Linked DNA regions of Mus musculus: all the other regions are reported to be linked to region 1. The links are microRNA targets in miRTarBase. Many come from high-throughput screens and were not tested one by one. Region 1 holds a microRNA gene; each other region holds the end of a gene's coding sequence.

The links. Region 1 holds the annotated microRNA mmu-miR-22-3p (AAGCUGCCAGUUGAAGAACUGU, at 4,299-4,320, opposite strand). A microRNA usually pairs through its seed, bases 2 to 8, with sites in the 3' UTR of a target mRNA and lowers its output. Matches are read on the target gene's strand: a 7mer-m8 pairs with bases 2 to 8, a 7mer-A1 pairs with bases 2 to 7 and ends in A, and an 8mer does both.
Region 2: the mRNA of Mecom is a reported target of mmu-miR-22-3p. Seed matches in the 3' UTR shown: 7mer-m8 at 6,470-6,476.
Region 3: the mRNA of Cdc25c is a reported target of mmu-miR-22-3p. The part of its 3' UTR that is shown has no 7-base or 8-base seed match.

Annotation. Positions count from the first base shown.
Region 1 is chr11:75,460,612-75,468,091 of GRCm38, reverse strand. It overlaps Mir22 (microRNA 22), which reads right to left and starts at 4,376; the gene lies at 4,282-4,376. Mir22hg (Mir22 host gene (non-protein coding)) reads right to left here and starts at 6,553. Exons shown (of 3, transcript NR_030711.1): 1 at 6,337-6,553; 2 at 4,235-4,399; 3 at 1,402-2,785. Tlcd2 (TLC domain containing 2) reads right to left here and starts at 42. Exons shown (of 5, transcript NM_027249.3): 1 at 1-42.
Region 2 is chr3:29,946,035-29,953,514 of GRCm38, forward strand. Mecom (MDS1 and EVI1 complex locus) reads right to left here. Exons shown (of 16, transcript NM_001370769.2): 16 at 5,262-6,816. The coding sequence ends at 6,682. Among named protein-coding and RNA genes, the nearest start is that of Gm52621, 47 kb to the right of the region's middle.
Region 3 is chr18:34,726,958-34,734,437 of GRCm38, reverse strand. It overlaps Cdc25c (cell division cycle 25C), which reads left to right. Exons shown (of 15, transcript NM_009860.3): 14 at 750-861; 15 at 1,045-1,445. The coding sequence ends at 1,197. Among named protein-coding and RNA genes, the nearest start is that of Gfra3, 10 kb to the right of the region's middle.

The DNA of each region.
Region 1 (7,480 bases):
CTGTGCCTGGGGCTTCCTGGCCTGTATTATCTTTCCAGCGTGCTGTAACTTTTCCTGGCTTGTCCACGCCCCTATCTCTCGGCTGCTCATTGATTGGCGCAGCCATGGGGCCACCTCGGGTGAAGCCATGGAACGGATGGCGTCCCGCTCCTGCTTGGGTTTAGCAGTTTGGGGCTTTCTGGCATCAAGTTCGGCTACTGAGTTCAGAGGCCTTACAACACATTAGAGGTCTTCTCCAACACCACTAGTCTCCGAGCCCCTTGGGGTTCCAGAAAGTCATCTAGTTTACCCCCACCTGACTAGTCTGGGGCTCCGCCCCACTAACTTTCACCTTCTGTTCTGGTTCCCTCATCTCTCACCTACTGGTCATCCTTACCCACAGACCAGAAGGTACAGGGCCAACAGAGCCAACTCCTGAGGGCCCAAATCTTGCACCATCTCACCTTTACCTCAGAGCACGCCAGTCAGGCAGAGCCGAGCTCTGCCCACCTGTAACTTCCTTACATAGTACTACCCAAACGGAACAGCTTATGGGAGAATCCCTTCTTGAGTCCTACCCCCTCCCCCCCCCCCAAACATCACCAAGAAACTTTATTAGGTAGAAGAAGCAAATGGAAGACACATACACCTCCCCTCCCCAGGTCTCAAGTAAGAAAAACAAACAAGCTAAAAATAAGACTCTTCAGATTCTAGACCCCTTTGGCCTTAAGAGGAATATCCTTTCCAACCACAAATCCCCCAAAGAGTGACAGGTTTTGAGCATTTCCCTTCTTTCTTATTCTAAGCCACACCTCCTTAGCTGGCTGACAGTCAGAAAGTCAGAGGAATGCTTCCTGTGTGTAGAGAGTAGGTGGATTCAGACAATTAATGAAGTTCATAGAATTGACTTTAGTGTGGTGGAGCTTGAAAAGGCCCCTGGATATGATTCCTAGCTCCAGTGTACACACACACATACACACACACACACAAGCATGCACACACACACTCAAGAAGCAATAGGTATCCCAAGCAAACATTTTCTTTCACCTGGCACTTGGTGTAGCCCATCCTCCTACAAGCAAATTCTCCAAAATCTAAACATGACAATGAGGACTAGAGGGAGAGATGGCTTTAGTGGCTAGGAGCATTTGCTGCTCTTCTAGAGGACCTGAGTGCGATTCTGAGCATCCACATCAGAAGATCCAAACAGCGTGCAGCTCCAGGGAATCTGATGCCCTCTTCTGGCCTCTGCAGAATGTGCACCCACACTCTGGTGCACAAAGACACATAATATAACATACAAATATATTTTTTAAAAATTACAGAGGGAGTGAAGAGACGGCTCAGAAGTTAGCGCTAGCTGCTTTCAGAAGACAATGTTGGATTCCTGCCACTCACAGGCAAAACACTCATAAAAGAGTAAAAATTTTAAAACATTTATTTGTCTTTTGTATTTTATTTAACATATGAAAGCAATGCACAATATTTAAAAATTAGAAAGACAGAAAAAACAAGGGGAAAATTCACAATTGTACTATCCCACCATACAAAAACAACCATTCTTAACATTTTGAATCCACTTTCAGTGTTTTTTTAAAAAATATATTACAAGTATGCATTCATATTTTAAAAACAGTCACAAACTCATACTTTTCATAATCTTTTTAGTATTCAGTATTTATATTTCCACTCAATTGGATGGTTTTTAAAAAAATATATTACAAGTATGTGTTCATATTTTAAAAACAGTCACAAACTCATACTTTTATAATCTTTTTAGTATTCAATATTTATATTTCCACTCAATTTTTCTTCTGTAAGACTTTGGATGGCTGCACAGAACACCACCATCAGATGAATATAATTTACTTAGGCAAGCCCTAGCTATACATTTTCATGACAGCAGAAAAGGAATGGACTTCCAAACAAACAGCTGCGTTCCATTTTTCTCTATTACAACCCTGAGATGAACATTTTATAACCAAATCCTTATTTTAGGATACATTTCTAAGACAGCAAACTACCAGGTCCAAAGGCATCTCTCACAATGGTTGGTACTGCCACACACAAGGCACAGGAGCCTTCTTCTGGCTTTCATTTGCTTGTTGTATTATGATCAGGGAAAACGGTTTCAGCCACATCTGCTTTCTTTGAATTACTAACCAATGCTTTATTTTATTTTGTTTTATTTTTTGAGACAGTCTCATATAGCCCAGGCTGGCTCAGAACTCATTGTATAGCAGAGGATTACCTTGAATGTAGGCTCCTTTGCCACCACCTCCAGAGTGCCGGGATTGCAGACCTGGGCCAACCTGTTCAGTTTTATGCAATGCAGAAGACAGAACCAGGGCTTGGTGCATGTTAAGCAAACCTACCAACTGAGCTACAACCCCAGTCATAGATATGTTTTCCCACAGTGTTACACATTTGAATCTCTTTTTGAATTTGCTGTGTATTTCCTTTCAGAGGTGGCTCATGCTCCTTGAGGCTGTTTATAGAAACTGCAGGGTAGAGATGGGACCATACTTCCTGGAGGCCCTTCATCTCCCAGGAAGGCAGGTCCTGAGAGGAGATGGCTGGAAGCACGTGTCTTTCACTGAGGCTGGCTGGCTGCTCTCTTTCCTGGTGTTCTCCAGGCTTCTACGTGCCTCTCTGACCAATGTCCGGATAGGCCCTTGTGGTTCCAGGCCAGGTCCTCCACTGTCTTGTGCCTGCCTCTGTTGCTTCCAGGCTGCCCTTTCTCACCTCTGAGGCTCCATGTTGGATGAGGACAGCAGAGCCATGTACCCAGTGCTGGAGGGACACACTGTGGCCAGGGAAGGGAGGAGGAAAGAAAGCAAGCGAGGTCGAGGGAAGGGCAATCTTTGTCGCAATGTGTGAGCCGACTCAGCCTCCCCAGCCCGTCTGCTACAGTCCCTTACACATCCTATCCCTCAGCTTAGACTGCAGTGGGGCTGGATTAGATGATCTAGTCTCCCCTATGACTTTCAGTTTCTCACAAATGGGGAACAGGCTAGAACTCCTCCTCCTGTCAAATACAACAAACAGCCTCCTGTACCCCCTGAACCCATCTTCTGTTAGGAAGACTGGGCCAAAGGTGAACCACAATCAGAGACCAAGCCCATACGTGAGAATGAATCAGGAGCTAGAGGCAGCAGAAGGGACTCATATCATACAACCCATCTCCCCTGACAATTTCTTGCCTGCACAGTATTGAGCAGAGTCTCACTATCCTGGAAAGCAAAGGCAGAAAATAAATGGCAGTGGTTGCTAGAACCCAACCAAGAGCTACAGTTTTGCTTTAGGTGGAGGGAAAGCCTTGGACCACCCATGCATGGTGAGAAGCCAGTAGAGGACTAGCCTCCCACGAGCTTGCCTGGGACTTAACCATAGCCTTTCCTTCCATCCTAATCCCCCTGAGCTGGGTGAGTAGTCAGGGGGTGGGGGAAGGACAACAGTTCATGTGAAGAGCTGTTTCGTTTCCATCCACGAGAAGAGAAGAGCCCAGGCTCTGAGTCACCACTGGTGGACTTTTAATGCCCTCCTGCCTACTTATCTATGGGATTCCCCATTATACAGGTGGAAAAATCCACAGGTGTAAGGGTAAGTACCCCTAAACCCAAAATCTGGGCCAGACTAAAAATAAATAAAGAAATGTAAATACAGCCGGGCGGTGGTGGCACACGCCTTTAATCCCAGCACTTGGGAGGCAGAGGCAGGCAGATTTCTGAGTTCGAGGCCAGCCTAGTCTACAAAGTGAGTTCCAGGACAGCCAGGGCTATACAGAGAAACCCTGTCTCGAAAGACAAACAAACAAATAAACAAAAAAAGTAAATACACAAATGACTACTTAGAACGGAGTTTCAATGTCCCCCTTCCTGAGTACATTTACTTTTGGACCTCATGGAAAGGAAAGTGTGTGTGTGTGTGTGTGTGTGTATGTGTGTGTATGTGTGTGTGTGTGTGTGTGTGTGTGTGTGTGTGTTGGCATGGTGATGATGAAGATAAGAAAGGCAGGCCTACAAGGAAGTCTCAGTAAACAGACAGACTTTTCCTTCTATTTCTTCCCACTGCCACACAGACATCAACTAATCTTGGGGAGGTGGAGTCACCTATTCCCCAATTTATAGACAGTGCCTTTAACCTAAATCTTTCACTGGGCCAGTGGGGGTAAGGGCTCCCCAGAGGACCAGGGTTTCCCTCCCATAAAGCCATCACCCCAGCTGTCCAGACCTTCCCACCCCAGTTCTGTCACCTTCCGGATGATAGGCAAAGCTGCTGCTTCTCCTCTTCCTCCACGAAGCCAGGGGCAGAGGGCAACAGTTCTTCAACTGGCAGCTTTAGCTGGGTCAGGACATAAAGCTTGCCACTGAAGAACTACTGCGGCTCAGCCAGGTGAGGGTGTGGGAGGCACAGGTTCCTAAAAGGAAGGGGAGGAAAAAAAAAAACAGGAAAGCTGGGTGACAGGGCCAGCGACCCAGAGGCCATCCAAACCTGGCTCTAGCTGACTTTCAGTACCTTCTAATGAGGGGTTCTTGAATAAGAAGCAAGAGGCTTCTAAATGCACTTGCTTTGTGCCCCTTTACAGACTAGGAGCTGGCAACTCTTGGCAACCTGCTAAGGAGCCCAGCATCTTCGGCATTCAAAGGGCAGGGTGTAGAACCCAAGTCCCAAGTTAAAAAAAAAAATGTACTTCAGAAATATGAGCTCTGTGATCAACTCAAATGACTTGTTCTTAGGGAATTCAGCAGCAAGGAGGGTTTGTGTAGGGTTAGAAATGGGAGGGGCACTAGAGTTGGAAGGTCAGCAGGGGCTCTCAGGAGTCTGAGGGAGGACAGCTGACCAAAGGCAGGAGGGGAGGGAGGTATGGGTAGGGTGGCTGGGCAGCTTCCTCAGGACTAGAGATGCCAGGCATTCCGCTTGCACATTCCGGGTACATCTGGTATGAATTCCAGGCTGTCTGCCGGCCCCTCCACGTCTGAACTTTGTTCCAAGTTCCAAGCCCCGCCCCCACAGTTCCAACGCATGAATCAGCAGTAAAAGCCGGGGCCCTACAGCATGGCTCAGGGAGGGGGCTGGGGGCGTGGCAGGCTAGAGGGCTGGGAGCCCGAGAGGGTGGTTCTGCACAGTCAGTCCAAGGACATGGCCACTGCCAGATAGAAGGGCCAAGGAGACTTTGCCTTGGGATTTCTATTTTCAGAGAGTGGAAAGATTACACTAGGGTGGGCAACTTTCAAATTCCAAAAGCCTCTTGGGAAGTATAAACTTTGTCGGATCTTCCTTCTCCTAGGTGATCAGTCTCTGTCCACTTCTCTCTGCCCAGGATAGCTCTGTTCAGGCCACAGGGTTCACTGGCTGCTGAGAGTTTGTGCCAAGCAGGTGCCCTTGGCTGCGGGGCGGGGTGGGCCCAGGGCACTGACCCTCTGACCAGCTGCTCCATCAACTCTCTGGCACCATGACAGCTTCTAGCCTACTCTAACAGCCAGGGTGACAGGCCAAATGAGTTGGAGACTGAAACTAGGGCCAGAGGGAGGTGGGAACGTTAGCCTAACCGGAGGCCGTGGGGAGGGGCCAAGAGTTGGCCAGGAGGTGGGGAGAGAGGGAGCCCAGCGATGACTAACCCAGGCGCCCCACCCAGCCAGCCGGCTTCCCAGGCAGTCAGGCCAAGCCCGGGCTAGGGGCCTCTCTACCGGACATACTAGGGGGGAGGTGCAAAGGTGACCTTCTCTCTGTCCAAGACAGCCAGTTAGGCTGGGAGGGGGGGTGCGGGTAGAGTTTCCAGGCACTCCTCCTGTCCGCCCCCCCAACCTCCGCCCAACCCGCGGTGAAACCCTAACCTTTGGGTTGCATAAGGCCTCCGCACCGCCGCCCCCTACTCCTTTCCCCTCCCCCCTTACATAACATCCCCGGGAGGGAACGAGAGGAGGGGCCGGACCGCCCAGCGACCCCTTCCCTGCCAGGGACTTGAACTGGCCCTGACCCAGTCAGCGCCGGTAGAGGCAATGCACCTCCGCACCCCTCGCTCGTCCAGATCCTCCCTAGGCTAAATGGTCAGCTCGGGCATCCTCAAACCAAAGGGCGTCGGGGTTAGACGCCCCCGGCCCTCTGGCCTCTCATATTCCTCCCCAGTTACTTCTCCAAACCTTCTGCCACGACTCCTGTCCGGGACTCTCTCTTTAAACGTCCAGACACACTACTCGGGAGAGTCCAGGCTCCTCTCCCAAGAGCGCCCCTGTCCCCGCCGCCCCCTCTCCCCTCCCCCAGAAGGGCAGGGTGTGGCCGTCAGGACCCTACTTTCCCCATCACCCGGTTACCGCGGTTCCCCCCGGGATGACCGGGTCCCCAGATCACACCCACCTGATGCTGGGTGCGGGGGTTGCTGTGGACAGAGGAGCAAAATCACTGCGACCTGTCCGCACGGCCGACCGCTCTGTCTCTTCCCAGCGCCCAGCACACACCGGCTCCAGTCTCCGATCAGCTGGCGGCGTCGTGACGCACGAGCTGCGAATGAACCACCCAGGGCCAATCACCGCCCATTGCTGGGCAACGTGACCACACCCACTCGGGGGCGCCAGCACCTCTGCTTACTCCCGCCCATTCAGGCGTCTGGGCTCTGATTGGCAAGGAGGCCACCCCCTTGCCTGGAGGAGCTTCTCTAAGCCACGCCTACCAACTAACCAACTGGCCAATGGCTGAAAAGGTGTGGCTAACCCTCGGCCTAGGCGACTTGCTTAGACCAGCTTTACGTCAAACTACAGTTTAAAGAGCAGAAGGAAGTATAGGCGTGTATTTTTGCAGTGCATTCCGGTCAATGAAGTTCTTACGGTGACACTCAGCTTCCCAGAATGCAGCGCGCTCTGTGAGTTGGCATTTTTAAACTGATCTCTGACTCGGTCGCGGGGAAGTCCTTAAAGGGCTACAGCCCCTCCTTCTTGGAACTTCTTTTAGCCTCAAAACTGATTCACAGGAGGCCTGAGCTAAGCGAAGGTGGAGCACGCGAAGCAACAGGAGTGAGTAGAACTAAAGATGGAAGCCAGCCACCGATGCAGCAGAACACCCGAAGTCTTTTTTTTTTTCCACAAATAGGACTTTTTTTTTTTCGGGGTATAGGGACCACTGTCACTCGCACGGCCCCAGTCTTCACTGGAGAGCTAGCTCGAGGTCTTCGGGGTATAGGGACAAATGTCACCCGCACAGGCCCAATCTTCACTGGAGGTCTAGTCTATCCCTCGTGGGTTTAGTGAAATCTTTTCTAGTGAATGTCTCGTCTTAGTCGCTGAAGAGCCCACGGCTTCTCAAGGGGCACGTTCTTAACAAAGGATTCGCCCTCACTTTTAGAGAGGAAGCGTCTTTTTAAAAATTAGGGGAAGATCTTTACCAAAGTAGTATCAACCAGAAACCCGGTTCTAAGATTAACACCCATTCAGTCCCGCCCTCCGAAACGCTTCTCTGACTCAGGCCTACTTAGGGAAGTGATTTCAAAGGTGGAGACCAATGAAGA
Region 2 (7,480 bases), not on the chromosome of region 1:
ACATCATGACCAAGAAGCAAGTTGGGGAGGAAAGGGTTTATTTGGCTTACACTTCCACAATGCTGTTCATCACCAAGGACGTCAGGACTGGAACTCCAGCAGGTCAGGAAGCAGGAGCTGATGCAGAGGCCATGGAGGGATGTTCCTTACTGGCTTGCTTGCCCTGACTTGCTCAGCTTGCTGTCTTATAAAACCAAGACTACCAGCCCACAGGTGGCACCTCCCCTCTTGATCACTAATTGAGAAAATGCCTTACAGCTGGATCTCGTGGAGGCATTTCCCCAAATGAAGCTCCTTTCTCTGTGATAACTCCAGCTGTGTCAAGTTGACACAAAACCAGCCAGTACACCTAGTAACCTAGCCAATTAGGAATGTAGTGGAGGCTGGAGGGGGGGAGAGAGTCTAGATTAGGAGGAGTAAAGAGGAGGTATTCCAAGAATAGTATGATGTACACAGTCTTCAAATGTATAATTGAACTTGGTGATTGATAGGAGTTCTGCCAGTCTGAGACAATTGAAACCAGATAGCAGTGAAGAACCAGCTCATGGAAGTCTGTACAGGCCATGTTGACCAGGTGGTATCCATTCAAGAAACACGGGAGAGATGCTGAGGGCATCCCTCATCCATTCCTCATCTGGAATATATATGTTCTTGAGAGGCCTTGTACTAACTATGGTCTTCTGGTACCTATCACTGTCCCTTGGTATCACAAGGGCCTCTAAAATCTTACTCTGCATTTTCTCCTGCCTGCTAGTTTCCACTGAAGTACAATGATAGGGTCAAAGGCTGGAGAACGGATAATATCAGGAACAGGAACAGGTCGTGACAGGTAGTCCATAGTAGAGACAGTATCAGGGTTATAACAGTACATCAGAAAACCCACAGTAACCGAGACCATCATGACTTCCTGATTTCTACCAGAGACAACTTTCTGATGTGTCCCTTTATAACCTGGATGTAAAGTGACCAAAAAAAAAGAAAAATTAATGACAGTAATTCAGTAAGAATTTCCACGGGCTACTCCCTGGTCTGGGTTGGTTCCCAAGCTTTACCTCAATTGTATACACTCTCACATAACCACCTGGTAATTGCCTTTCCCCTTAGGGTACACAGAATTTAATTCTTTGGGAAAACCATAGGGAGAGGTATTTTTTTTCTTTGCTCTTTAATAAGGGTAAAATATATATTCCATAAAATATCTATCAACCTCTTTAGACATATGGTTCCTGCATGACTAATACATTCCTGTAGTGTGCACCAACAACTGGACTCTTTTCCCCTTGCAAAAACTGAAATCCCATTAAACAACTCAGCATGCTTTAATCTCCCAGCCCCTTGGAAACCACCTTTGCTTCTATGAACTGATTACCATAGGTTCTCCATAGAAGCTGACTCCTACAGTAGCTTCCCTTCTGTGATTGGTTTATTTCACTTACTAAAATGTTCTTGACATTTATCCATGTTACTGTCTGTGTCAAAATCCCCTTCCCTTTGAAGAGTGAATCATACCCATTGCACAGATATGTGGACATAGATATAGATGTATATACATTTCACTCATCTATCTTTTGATGTCCACTAGATGCTTCCATCTTTTGTCTTCTGTAAAAACTGATGCTGTGAACACAAGTATGTAAATATCTCCTGACAATTCGATATCAGTCCTTTTGAGTGTATAACCCGAAGTGAATTCACGATTTTCTTAGGAACTTTCATGTAGTTTCCCAAAGTGGCTTTTCCATTTTACAGTATTTTTCTCTGCTCTTCCAGCAATTGTTATTTTTTGAATAGTACCCATCCTATATCCTAATGAGCACAGGGTGCTTTTCTGTTTTAAATACACAGAGCTTCAAGAACAGCATTCTGAATCCACCATGAATCGTTTTTTTCTACAAAGAACAATTAAACAATAAACCGCATCTCTTGGGGGAAGTCCCCAACCTGCTTGCTAAGTTTCCCTCTGTATCATCCTTTCTCCTCCCCACACCCCTCTTCCTGACAATCCCTTTAAAGCCCAAGGAGAGCAAACAAGGACCGCTCTTAACTGTTCCTTCTCTTATGCTTGCTTCCTCCTGAGTCTAACCGCTTCTGAAGGTGCTTAAATCATTGCATGTTAATCAATTCAAAACATAAGATTGTGAAAAATCTTCTGTTTTAGAAAAAATAAGGTCCACCAGCTTACGAGGTCCAGAAAAGACAGCCAAGACCCTTAGTAATAAAGCACTAGGGGTCTTTCAAAAGCACTGGTACTGTTGGCTCTGACTTGGAATAACCTGAGTTTTTTAAAACCTGGGAACAAGTACTTGGCAGTATCTTTCAAACTCTTTTCTGCCAAGACTCAGCCGCCTCACTGTCTCCTGGGCACATTAGCAGAGGTGCAGCCTCACTTTGGTTTCTCACTGGGCACATTTCTTCAGCTTTGGAATATTCTCTTTCTTCTCCTGTACATGAACTATGATATCTAAGACACTGTGTTCCCTGCAGACTACACATTCTCATCCAGCCAATAGCAGTTTCTCAGCTCTAGTTTCCTTATCTCTAAAACAGGAAGATAGCTCCCTGTCTCCATGTTAAGCACATTAAATGAGCAATGATTAGATAGATAGATAGATAGATAGATAGATAGATATGTATATATCACATTTGCATTAGTAAATGCAAGAACAATATTATTTTTCCTGAAATAGGATTGTAGGTAGCAGCCATGTGAAAAATCAAGTTAATGAATGAGCTATTTGAATGTCTTTTCTTAATTATTCTTGAACTTTTGGGAAGCTTCAAAGAATTATATTTGAATAAATGTCAAGAACTTTATTTAATACATATATTAGTGGCAATAGCTAATAACAATATATTGCATATTAAATGTAAAGAATAGATATAGTAGTCTTCTCATAAATTGCATGATGTTAAGTAATTTAATCATTCCTTAATATACACTTGTATCACAATCGCATATACCATCAATATATGTAATTTTATCAATGAAAGAAAACAAGTAGACACTGTTTGTTTCACATTTTCAAAGGATTTAACTTCCTTTGTTTTAAGCCTGTGTATGCTTTTCAAGAAACATGTCTACAGCAAGAGGCATAGTTTAGTGGTAGATCACATGTTTAATATGCTCCAGGCTCAATTCCCATCACATAAAACCAAGCAGAAATACAAGGGCCAGAATGAAAGAGAAATATTCCTAACTTTTTTGTATGAAACTTCTCTTTCACTCATTACAATAATATAGAATAGATCTTTGCTGTATTATAAATTTGTTCTCGCGTAATATTTGCATATGTGCCACTATATACATATTATGTCACTGTAAAATATATACCCAAATATTGTATATTATATTCTTTAAAATCCTCCCAAAAATTATAAGGTGTTTTGTACATTAAGAACTACTACAAATTATTTACAAAATTTAATTAATTAATTAATTAACTAATGTGCAATGCTGAAGGATTGAACGTAGGACTTTGTGAGTTCAACACTCTCCCACTGAGCTCTCATCCTCTGGTTTTCGTCTCCACGTATGCAGCCACTCAGTGAAGCAGACCAGATGGCAGCAGCCCCTGGTTTCCCAGAGGAGGTTTGGGGGAACTCGAATCCAGGCCTTCTGTCTCCAGTGTCTAGATAGTCTCCTGATCGTATCATTGACTCTTCCCAGGGCAGGTAGTTGGTGTAGTGATTACAAAAGCAAGTGACTAAGAGACAAGAAGTAAATCTTGATTAGCTTCCTAGAACTTGAGGCATAAACTCTAGCAAATCACGGATGTGAACATCGAAGTCTACAAGGAAGCTAGCAGCACTGGGGACATTTTAATTGCATTCATTGCTATTTGTGAGCATAGGCATAGTCTAAACTGCCCCTTTCTCCAGTGCTCCGCCTTCTCCCTTGTGTTGCTTGTACAGTCAAATGCTATAATCATGTTCTGTTTCTTGGTTACGGGAGTATACCTTAAGGTTATTTCTTGAAAATCCTGTTTACTTTCTATTATAAAATCTGTACACTAAATCCCAGAATTATATTCCTATAATAGCAACATTTAGAATTAATCTGACACTGAATTATATGCAAGAAGCAACCCAAAATCCTTGATTTTTATCCCAGGAGAGGCCTGATCTGTAGGGTCTCTCGTCCCATCACAGCGCTGCACATGTGGCCCTGAGCTCCCAGGAGCAAGAATGTACATGACAATTAACATGTCCTCATTTGTACAAATGGAAGCAGAGGAGCCCTAGTTTTCAACAATATTGAAAATTTGAAGAAACTATGTTTGATTCAACATATAAATGAAGAACTTTTCATGGTATACAATGACTTTGTTATTTTCTTTTTATAATGGTATTTTGAATCTGGGCAGAAATTTGAAAGAAACATAGGAGAGGTGGAGCAGTGGTTTAGAACACTTGCTGTTCTAGCAGGACCTGGGTTCGCTTTCTAGCACCCACAATAGAAGGCTGATAATTCCCTAGAACTCAAGTTCTAGGTTGCCTCATGCCATCTTCTGATCCCTTGGGGTACCAGAAATGTACATCACACACAGAGACACACACACACAGACACACACACACAGACACACACACACAGACACACACATACATAGACACACACACACAGACACACACACAAGCACACACACACACAGACACACACAGACACACACACACACAGACACACACACAGACACACACACACACAGCACACACACACACACAGACACACACACACATATATATATAATAATCTTAAAAGAACCTAGGGGAATGAATGGTGTTTCTGTCCTTATGAATTTCAATAGCATCAATATTATTATAAGAAAAATCAAAGGTAGGGTATATATTTCAGTGCTACCCTGTTTGCCTAGTGTGTGTAGTAAGTCCCTGGGTTTATACCTGGAACACATACACCAGCTAGACAAAAAAGAAAGAAATACCAGGAAGCTCCCTAGCGAACATTGTTGCTGGCTGCGCTCTGTCCCAACTACCATGTGTGCTGCAGCCCTAGAGGAAGGCCAGAGCTGGGAAGCGGAGCCTGCCTACGGGTCTTGACTTGCACTGTGAGCAAAGTTCACCACAAGCTGCAGAACTCATTGCTGGCTACGATCTATCACTGTGTCATCTCAAAACCTTACAAGCATGCTTACATTCCCCAAATCTGCTAGGGCATCAAGGTTTTAAACACTGTATCTTTAGATCATTTGGATGCCAGAAGGGAACTAAAATTGCATGAGAAAAGAAAGCAGCACACAGGGGAGTCATTATTTTTCATGATTTTTGGAAGTCTTTATTTTTTTTTTTAGTTGCTCCTCCCACAGTAACGCACTGAAAGGCATAACAGTTTATATTGTACAAAGCATGGGAAGAAAGTACCTCAACTTGCCAATTATTTCCAAATGAGATCACAAACAAAAAGGAAAAATGAAATCTGGTTTTTCGATAAAGGACAAAATAACTGAATAATGTCTGTTATTTACTTCTCTCTTTTTAACATAAGGTCAGGAACACTTCATTTTACAAATAGGATTAACATGAACATAACATCATCGCACAAGCTTGCAGACAACCAGCATAAAATATGGGGTACAGTTCTTAATCAGAAGGATCATGCTTCCATGAAAGAAATTATAATCATTTATACAATTGAATCGATTTCAGTATTACAAAAACTAAGTTGCATCTATTGGTATTTAGTTCATTAAAAAGGAAAACAAAACAACAACAACAAAAAGGAAGGAATGTTAAGAAAAGCCAAACACTATTGGGCACTCCCATACACAGGTCATGTCACCTTGGTCCTTGGAATTCAGAAAGGGGTGTGCCTCAGACATCATAAAATAGTGGCTGACGGGAACAGTGCTCTTTTTGATCAACAAACCATAGTTTGCCAACAAATAAATACATGATACACACAACACACAAAAAAATTGAAACATTAAAAACAGTGACATGATTGTCTAAAATTAAGATGTCATTACAAGGATTTGGCAAACATTGTATTAGTGGTACAGTGGTGATAAACAGTTATGTCACCGACTTAACCTCTCTGCATGAGCATCCATAGTTTACAATATACACATACCCTTTTTTCCCCCTAGTTTTAAACAATGTACTCAAGAAGGCCAAAGTTAAGAGGGTGTGGGGGGTGACAAAAAATCCTGCTATCACTTCCTATAATCATTGTGCATTTCTTCTGACTACTTCCATCTGCAAAAGATTAAATTACATAAAACTTTAAAAAGGAAAAAAAAAATCTGGTAGTTAGAAGCCACTGTTCCCAGTCAGATCAGGTGATCCTGTAGAGTAGAGTTTGATTTCTATGAAATGTCCATTTATATCAATGCTGCCATTTCAACTGCTCCTCTCAGCCACCCATGCCCTGCGGCAGGGGGAATGAAAGATGCCTTCCCTGGTGAGGTTTCCTTTCCCCTCCAATCATTTTGGATTAATTGATCCTCCAGAAGTCAGCAGCTGCCTTGGCTGTGCAAAACAAAATATTGAGAATAAATAGCTTCCTTTTTCTCTCTCTTTCTTTACTCATTCAGTTTAAGGTCACCAGACTTTAAATGCGTGACCCTTCAGGGTTATAAGGCATCCTGCTCAGCAGTCTTGTAAATTGTTCTGTATGAAAGAGCCATGCTACCGTTGGACTTGGTCCCACTCTGGTCAACCTTGACAATGTCATACATGGCTTATGGACTGGATGGCACTGGATTCTGCTGCAGCCCTTGCCATGCTGTGCCACACGTTGGAGGAACTGTGGGAGGTGGGATGGAGGGAATCCTTGTCAGACAGTGACAACATCATAGCATATGCCTAGAATGAAAAGGAGAGATTCGGTGAGTGGCATTGGAACAAAAACAGCAGATCTAATCTAAATAAGATAATCCACAGGTATTAGACGTGAGAGCCTGGACGGAAGCACACTTCATGAGCATATTTGGAAGTAGGGCTGTGCTGTTTTTTTTTTTAATCAAAATGGCATAAAATCAGTGCTCACCTTAGCCAGACTTATGTAGGGGATGCTCTGACTCTTGCATCTCGGAACCCAGACTTTTGAAGGTAAATGACCACTCCCAGACCCCTCAACAATATACATCTAGGGCTTATTTCTGCTCACTTTCAATCTAGTGCCCTTTCTCAAGTTCTACTTTGTGCTTAAAATACCTAGTGTAGACACCTGACACCCTTGAGAATAAGAGAGCCCAGGGAAGTTCCACCAAGAAAGAAAACAAAGCATGAGGACCCAACAACTTCCAAGCAACCCTTACTCAGGACTCCGCTGAGCAGACGGTGCACAGAAGTGCCCTGACAGGAGGGACACTTTCTTCCCTGTGATCATGCCAAGTTCCAAATAACTGTTTAGAGATTCCCTCACCATTGCCAAGTAAAATATTCAAATGAAGTGTTTGGTCTTGACTTGTGAGTGAACTTTTCCCTGTTGATTTGCTATTGTAGGTCTCATCCATTGCTAAACTTG
Region 3 (7,480 bases), not on the chromosome of region 1:
AAAGTAAGGGAGTCGTGGTGTGTCAGGGATACACAAGCAGGAAGATCAGAAATTTAAGGTTCTAAATCAGTCTGAGCTAGAGATCCTGTCTCAAAAAAAAAAAAAAGATCCAGACATGGTGGTCCATGCCGATAATCCCAGCCCTTAGGAGTCAGAGGCAGATAGATAACTGAGTTTGAGACCAGCCTGGTCTACATAGTGAGACCCTGTTTCAAAAACAAAACAAAACAAAACAAAACAATGAAAAACCCATGTAAAACACACACACACACACACAAAGGGATTTGGGGATGAAGCTTCAATAGAGGAAAGGGAAGAGTGTCACTGGACCTTGGTTGGTAAACATGGTGAGAGCCTGTGTGTATTGGGGTGGGGGTGGCTGTGGATTAAACCTGGGTCTTCTGCCAGGTGGTGGTGGCGCACGCCTTTAGTCTCAGCACTTGGGAGGCAGAGGCAGTCAGATTTCTGAGTTCAAGGCCAGCCTGGTCTACAGAGTGAGTTCTAGGACAGCCAGGGCTACACAGAGAAACCCAGTCTCGAAAAAACCAAAACCACACCAAAACAAAACAAAACACAAAACCCTGGGTCTTCTGTGTACTACATGGTACTCTACCACTGAGCTACGTCCCAACACTGGAGGTCCTCCGGGGCAGTTACTCATAGTGTGTTCTTCCCTCCCTCCCACTGAAGGACCATAGAGTCCTGGCCTTGCTTCCTCCATCCAACCCATCTCTGTGTTTTCTTTACAGGTGCCGTTCTCTGAGAGAAAAAGACAGGGCTCTGAACCAGTATCCGGCATTATATTACCCTGAGCTATATATCCTCAAAGGGGGCTACAGAGATTTCTTTCCAGAGTATATGGTAAAAGGATGTGGAAGATCTCAGACATGGTGGGAGGGGTGCTCCAACTCAGCTTTAGCATAGTCTCCAGGGATGTAAAGCAGTCTAGGAGAAAACGGGTTTCTCAGACCCAGGGAGCAGTATCTCTTCTCTGTAGTAGGCAGGGCTCAGGAGTCTGAGAAACCTTTGTCTCGTACCTTTCAGGAGCTGTGTGACCCACAGAGCTACTGTCCCATGCTTCACCAGGACCACCAGGCTGAGCTGCTGAGCTGGCGAAGCCAGAGCAAGGCCCAGGAAGGGGAGCGGCAGCTGCAGGGACAGATTGCCCTCCTGGTGAAGGGTGCGAGCCCACAATAGTGACTATGACGGTGGCAGTGAAGACACTACAGACCCTGGACAGAAGGAGTCATCTTCCATGTCGCTAATCCCGTGATTATGTCTGCAAACATGGGCAGAGCCAGGCAGGCTGTAAATAAATGCCTTTCGTCCTAGCACTAAGGAGGCAAAGGCAGGAGGATCTTTGAGTTTGAGGCCAGCCTGGTCTACATGTGACCTTGTCTCAAAAACAAAACAAACAAAATAAAACAAAACCCATTAAACCAAAACCTCTAGATGTCTCTAAGCCTGTCGTGCTGATGAAGTGCCCCTCCTGAGGCTGGGCGTGGTTTCCGTGAGCTGCTGGCTGTTCTAGATGATGAGCATTGTGTTTGAGAGTTCAGAGTTCTAGCCCCAGTCTCCCATATCTTGCCACAAGCAGCAGCTCTGCACAGGCTTCTGGTTTTCTGAGAACATGGCTTACCCTCTATGTATTTTCTTCCCTTTCTCAGCCTCTTTACTCAAATGGGAAAGTAAAATCGAAGTGACTTGGAACCCAGGCTCTTCCTGGAGGATCTGCATAAGGAGAATTGTCTTGAGAGGAGGCTCCTTTAAGGGCTTGCCTGTCACAGGAGCACTGAGTCAGAGCTTGCACACCATAAACAGTTAAGAAATACAGTCAGGCTGGGGAGGTGCCTCATTGGGTGAGTAAGACGGTTGCACGAGGCTCTGAGTTCCAAACCTAGGGAGCTAATAGGACACTGGCCACTCTACTGTGCCTCTGTAATCGTGGTAATCCTCACCATGAGAAGAGAGGTGGGGACAGAAGCCATGGAAGCTCTCAGGCCAGCTAATATGGCATACAGAAGAGACTGTCTAAAGTTAGAAGATGAAGGCCAACACCTGACCTTACACACACACACACACACACACACACAAACACAGATCTGTGAGACCTCATGTATAGCCTGATAATGCCAAAGTTCTTTTCTTTAGTTTTCAAGCTTTAGACCCTCAGCGTCATATGAATCTGCTTAAAATTAAAAAAAAAAAAAGATGGTGCCTGCTTTCAGCAGCATTTACACTAAAGGTGGAACAAAAGCATGACCCCTGCAAGGATGGTCCGCAGATTCGTTAAAGCATGTGTGTGCATGTGCTGTCTGTGTGTGTGCGTGTGCTGTGTGTGTGTGTGTGTGTGTGTGTGTGTGCTCTGTGTGTGTGTGTGTGTGTGTGTGCTCTGTGTGTGTGTGTGCATGTGCTGTGTGTGTGTGTGTGTGTGCTGTGTGTGTGTGTGTGTGCATGTGCTCTGTGCGTGTGCTCTGTGCGTGTGTGTGTGTGTGCGTGTGTGTGTGTGTGTGTGTGTGTGTGTATTTAAGTCATGACTCTTCATTTTAAGCCAGAACTGAGGTTCTGAGTTTTAAAACTTTCTGCCAAGTGTAAAATAAGTGCTATACTGAGTACTTGGTGAGTCAGACCCAGGAGAGCTGGGGTTCAAGATCACACTCAGCTCCCTGCCAGTGCAAAGCCAGCCTCAGCTACATGAGACCCTGTCTTACAAAATAAAATCAAAATCTTCCCTTTGGAGGCTGGAGAGAGGGTTCAGCGGTTGGGAGACTGCTCTTCCAGAGATCCTGAGTTCAATTCCCAACAACCACATGTTGGCTCACAACCATCTGTAGTGAGATCTGATGCCCTCTTCTGGTGTGTCTGAAGACAGCTACAGTGTACTTATATATAATAAGTAAATCTTTTTAAAAAAAGAAAACTTCCCTTTTCAGGTAATTTGATGTACCTTGGGCATAGTAACAACTGCTCTGGCCCTAAGGCTAAGTTTCAACTGTATTCTTGAGCTGGACTTAGTGCTACGTGTTTGTATCTCTAAACGGTCAAGGCAGGACCATGCTGATTGATTGGTCTCCAACCTGGAACAAATGTCCTGGGTTTAAGACATAACGGTGAGCGGGCGTGGTGGTGCACGCCTTTAATCCCAGCACTCGGGAGGCAGAGGCAGGTGGATTTCTGAGTTCGAGGCCAGCCTGGTCTACAAAGTGAGTTCCAGGACAGCTAGGACTACAGAGAAACCCTGTCTTGAAAAACCAAAAAGAAAAAAAAAAAAGACATAACAGTGAGTTCCACTACAAGATGCATAGATGCATATGAACTTTTTCACTGTTTTATTTTAATTTTAAGATTAATTTATATGTATGAGTGTTTTCCTTGCATGTATTGTGTGTGTGTGTGTGTGTGTGTGTGTGTGTATGTATATATATATACCACTTGAGTGCCTGGTGCCTGCAGAGGCCATCATAGGACACTAGATCCAGAACTGGAGTTAAAGATGATTGATTGTGAGTTCTGGGAACAGCAAGTGCTCTTAACCACTAAACCAGCAGCAGGAGCCCATGTTTCTCATTTAAAATTTTTGAAATGATTTCACTCTGCAGCTCAGACCAGTCTGGAATGACTAAGTTGGTGAGCGCTTGTCCAGTATGCATGAATCCCCGGGTTATTTATCTCCATGCACCATAAATGGGCATGCTGGTCCATGCTTTTAATCTCAGTAGTCTGAAGAGAGAGGCAGGGAAATTACAAAGTCAGGGTCATTCTTGGGTATCTATCAGCATAAGTTATATAAGACCATGGCTCTCAAATGGCAAGGGGACCCAAGTTCAGTTCCCAGGATGGTCATCAACAAGCCCACAGCTACCTGAAACTCCAGCTCCAAGGAACCAAGGCTTTCTTACAGCCTCCATGGGCACCTACACTTGGCACACACTTAGAATTGTTTTCTTTGATTTATCAGCTTTAAAGAACTGGAGAGATGTTTCAGTGGTTAAGAACACGTGCTGCTCTTCCAGAAAACATGCACATGGTGGCTCACAAACCATTTCTAATTCCAGTTCCAAGTTATCTAACAACCTCTTCTGATCTTTTGGGACATCTGGCACACATTTGATGCAAATACATACATGGAAGCAAAACACTTATAATTGTAAAGGATATAATATAGAATGTGTATATATGTGCAATTGCTCACGTGGAAACCAGAGAATAACTTGCAAGATTCCCTCCTGTCACCTGACTGGGGGTTGAATCTGGAACATCAGGCTTAGAGTCACTGCCTTTACACACTGAGCCACCTCACCAGCTAATTTTTAGCTGTGCTGGCTAATTTTTAATGCTAACTTGACACAAACTAGGGTCTTGTGGGAAGAAGGAATCATAATCAAGAAAGTTTCTCCATACAATTGGCCTATAGTTAAGTCTGTTGGATATTTTCTTGATTGGTGATTGATATGGAAGGGCTCACTCTAGGTGGTGCCACCCTGAACTAGTAGTCCTGTGTTAATTAAGAAAGTAGTCTGGGGCTGGAGAGATGGCTCAGTGGTTAAGAGCACTGACTGCTCTTCCAAAGGTCATGAGTTCAAATCCCAGCAACCACATGATGGCTCACAACCATCCAATAATGAGAGACAGCTACAGTGTACTTTACATATAATAAATACATGTTTTAAAAAAAAAGTAAGGCCGGGCGTGGTGGCGCACGCCTTTAATCCCAGCACTCGGGAGGCAGAGGCAGGCGGATTTCTGAGTTCGAGGCCAGCCTGGTCTACAAAGTGAGTTCCAGGACAGCCAGGGCTACACAGAGAAACCCTGTCTCGCAAAAAAAACAAAAAAAAAACAAAACAAAACAAAAAAGTAGTCTGAGCCAGGCATGGTGGCACACGCCTTTAATCCCAGCACTCGGGAGACAAAGGCAGGCAGATCTCTGAGTTCCAGGCCAGCCTGGTCTATAGAGTAAGTTCCAGGACAGCCAGGGAAGCCCTATCTTGTAAAACAAACAACAAAAAAGAAAGAAAGAAAGAAAGAAAGAAAGAAAGAAAGAAAGAAAGAAAGAAAGAAAGAAAGAAAGAAAGAAAGAAAGAAAGTAGTCTGAGCAAGCCAGTAAGCAGTGTTCCTCCATGGCCTCTGCATCTGTTCCTGCCTCCAGATTCCTGCCTTGGGTTCTGTGCCTTCCCTCTGTGATAGAGTGTGACCTGAGAGTTACAAGCTAAAATAAACCCTTTCCATGCCACACCACCTCCAGTAGGATCTGTGTGACAAGTTCCACTTCTGAGGCAATTGACCTCAGAAGGGAGAGGCTTCCTGGAACCAGTTGTGGAACTCTTCGCTGGAAAAACTATTAAGCCATAGTTCTCATGGCAATCTATCTGTTTTGTTTTCTCTTATTCCTTTTCTTATTTCACATGATCCCGGTAGCCTAGGCCAAGATCTTAAACAAGAATAAGGGGTCACTAACAAGATCTTATCCCCAGGGAAACCAACACTTAACTTTTTAAATCATTTACCAAATTATTATGATAGATAAAAACTTTCCTAACAAGCCAGGTGTGGTGGCGCATGCCTTTAATCCCAGCACTCGGGAGGCAGACACAGGTGGATTTCTGAGTTCGAGGCCAGCCTGGTCTACAAAGTGAGTTCCAGGACAGCCAGGGCTATAGAGAAACCCTGTCTCAAAAACCAAAAAAAAAAAAAAAAAAACCTTTCCCAACAATAAAATTTCTCATATGGCTACACGTGTGTCATCAGAGGTGGGTTTTGGTAAATGGTAAAGAAAGCCTCAATTGGGGCTGGAGAGATGGCTCAGTGGTTAAGAGCACCGACTGCTCTTCCGAAGGTCCTGAGTTCAAATCCCAGCAACCACATGGTGGCTCACAACCACCTGTTAATGAGATCTGATGCCCTCTTCTGGTGCATCTGAAGACAGCTACAGTGTACTTAGATATAATAAATAAATCTTTTAAAAAATGGCATTCCGGGCTGGCAAGATGGCTCAGTGGTTAAGAGTGCTGACTGCTCTTCCGAAGGTCCCGAGTTCAAATCCCAGCAACCACATGGTGGCTCACAACCATCCGTAACGAAATCTGATGCCCTCTTCTGGAGTATCTGAGGACAGCTACAGTGTACTTACATATAATAAATAAATAAATCTTTTAAAAAAAAAATGGCATTCCTTAAAAAAAAAGAAAGCCTCAACTAGAAAGAATTAAAATAGTTTAAATTTATGTGTTGAAGATTTATAAAAAATCAGGCATCAGATGTTAAATAATAATTGACCATGGGGCTGGAAAGTTAGCTAAGCAGTTAAAAGCATAAAGATTTATTAACTGCTCTTGGAAATATGCCACTAGCCTTGGATGATTGCCCCCACTGAATAAATTCTTTTAGAATTGTTATATTTTGATGATTTACATTAACAATGTTGTTACCTGTTCTGTTTGTGATTGTTTCACTGTGTACAGTTTCTAAGAGATATTTTTGTGCTTTACCTTGCCAAATGATTTCTGTTGATATTTGTGGTTGTTTTACTGGATATAGTTTCTAAGAGATGTAATGTTTGGTTTGTTTGTTTGTTTGTTTTCGGTTTGGTTTTTTGAGACAGGGTTTCTCTGTATAGCCCTGGCTGTCCTGGAACTCACTTTGTAGACCAGGCTGGCCTTGAAGTCAGAAATCCACCTGCCTCTGCCTCCTGAGTGCTGGGATTAAAGGCGCCTGGCTCTGTTTTTTTAATGTATAAAATCCCTTGCTTGAGAGCTACAAAATACACTCAGATTCAAACTGCCTCAGTGTTTGTTTCTGTTTGTCACTGCTGAATCCTTACTCACCTAGCTTCGAGGCCCCTCATTCCAGGGACCCCCATACCCAACTGGGGTGGTCTGTGGCATTTCCTCCCCAGTCACTTTTGCTCATGGTGTTTTTCACAGAAATAGAAACCCTAAGATGCAGGCAAAACAAAACTTTGAAAAACGACTCTTCAGCTGGGCAGTGATGGCACACACCTTTCATCCTAGCACACAGGAGACAGAGGAAGGTAAATCTCTGTGGGTTCAAGGCCTGCCTGGTCTACAGAGCAAGTTCCAGGACAGACAGCTACAGGTCTTCAAAACCCAAAAGGAGGGAGGGGCTGGGGAGGGGAGAGAAATTAGAAGTGCAAGGAGAGATCAGTTAGTCTTAAGACCAACCTGTTCTGAGCTCCAGAGCTCTGAGGTAGGCAGACTTTCATCTGTGTGGTAAGATGGCACTCTGGCACTAGTGACCAATAACCCAAGGTTAGGGAAGGAGGAAGCACTCTGAATCATAGACAGACAACTGGGGGGTGGGGGTGGGGGTGGGAATCTTCCCAGAATCTGGAATAGTCTAACATTCTTGATGTAAGTGCATAGGAAAGAAGGCTGTAGCCATGGAGTAGCCTGTGCCTGTGGCCAGACTGGTTTCTTGTTAAATGCAAGCTTCACAGCAGAGGGCACTGCTGCATTGTCAAAGA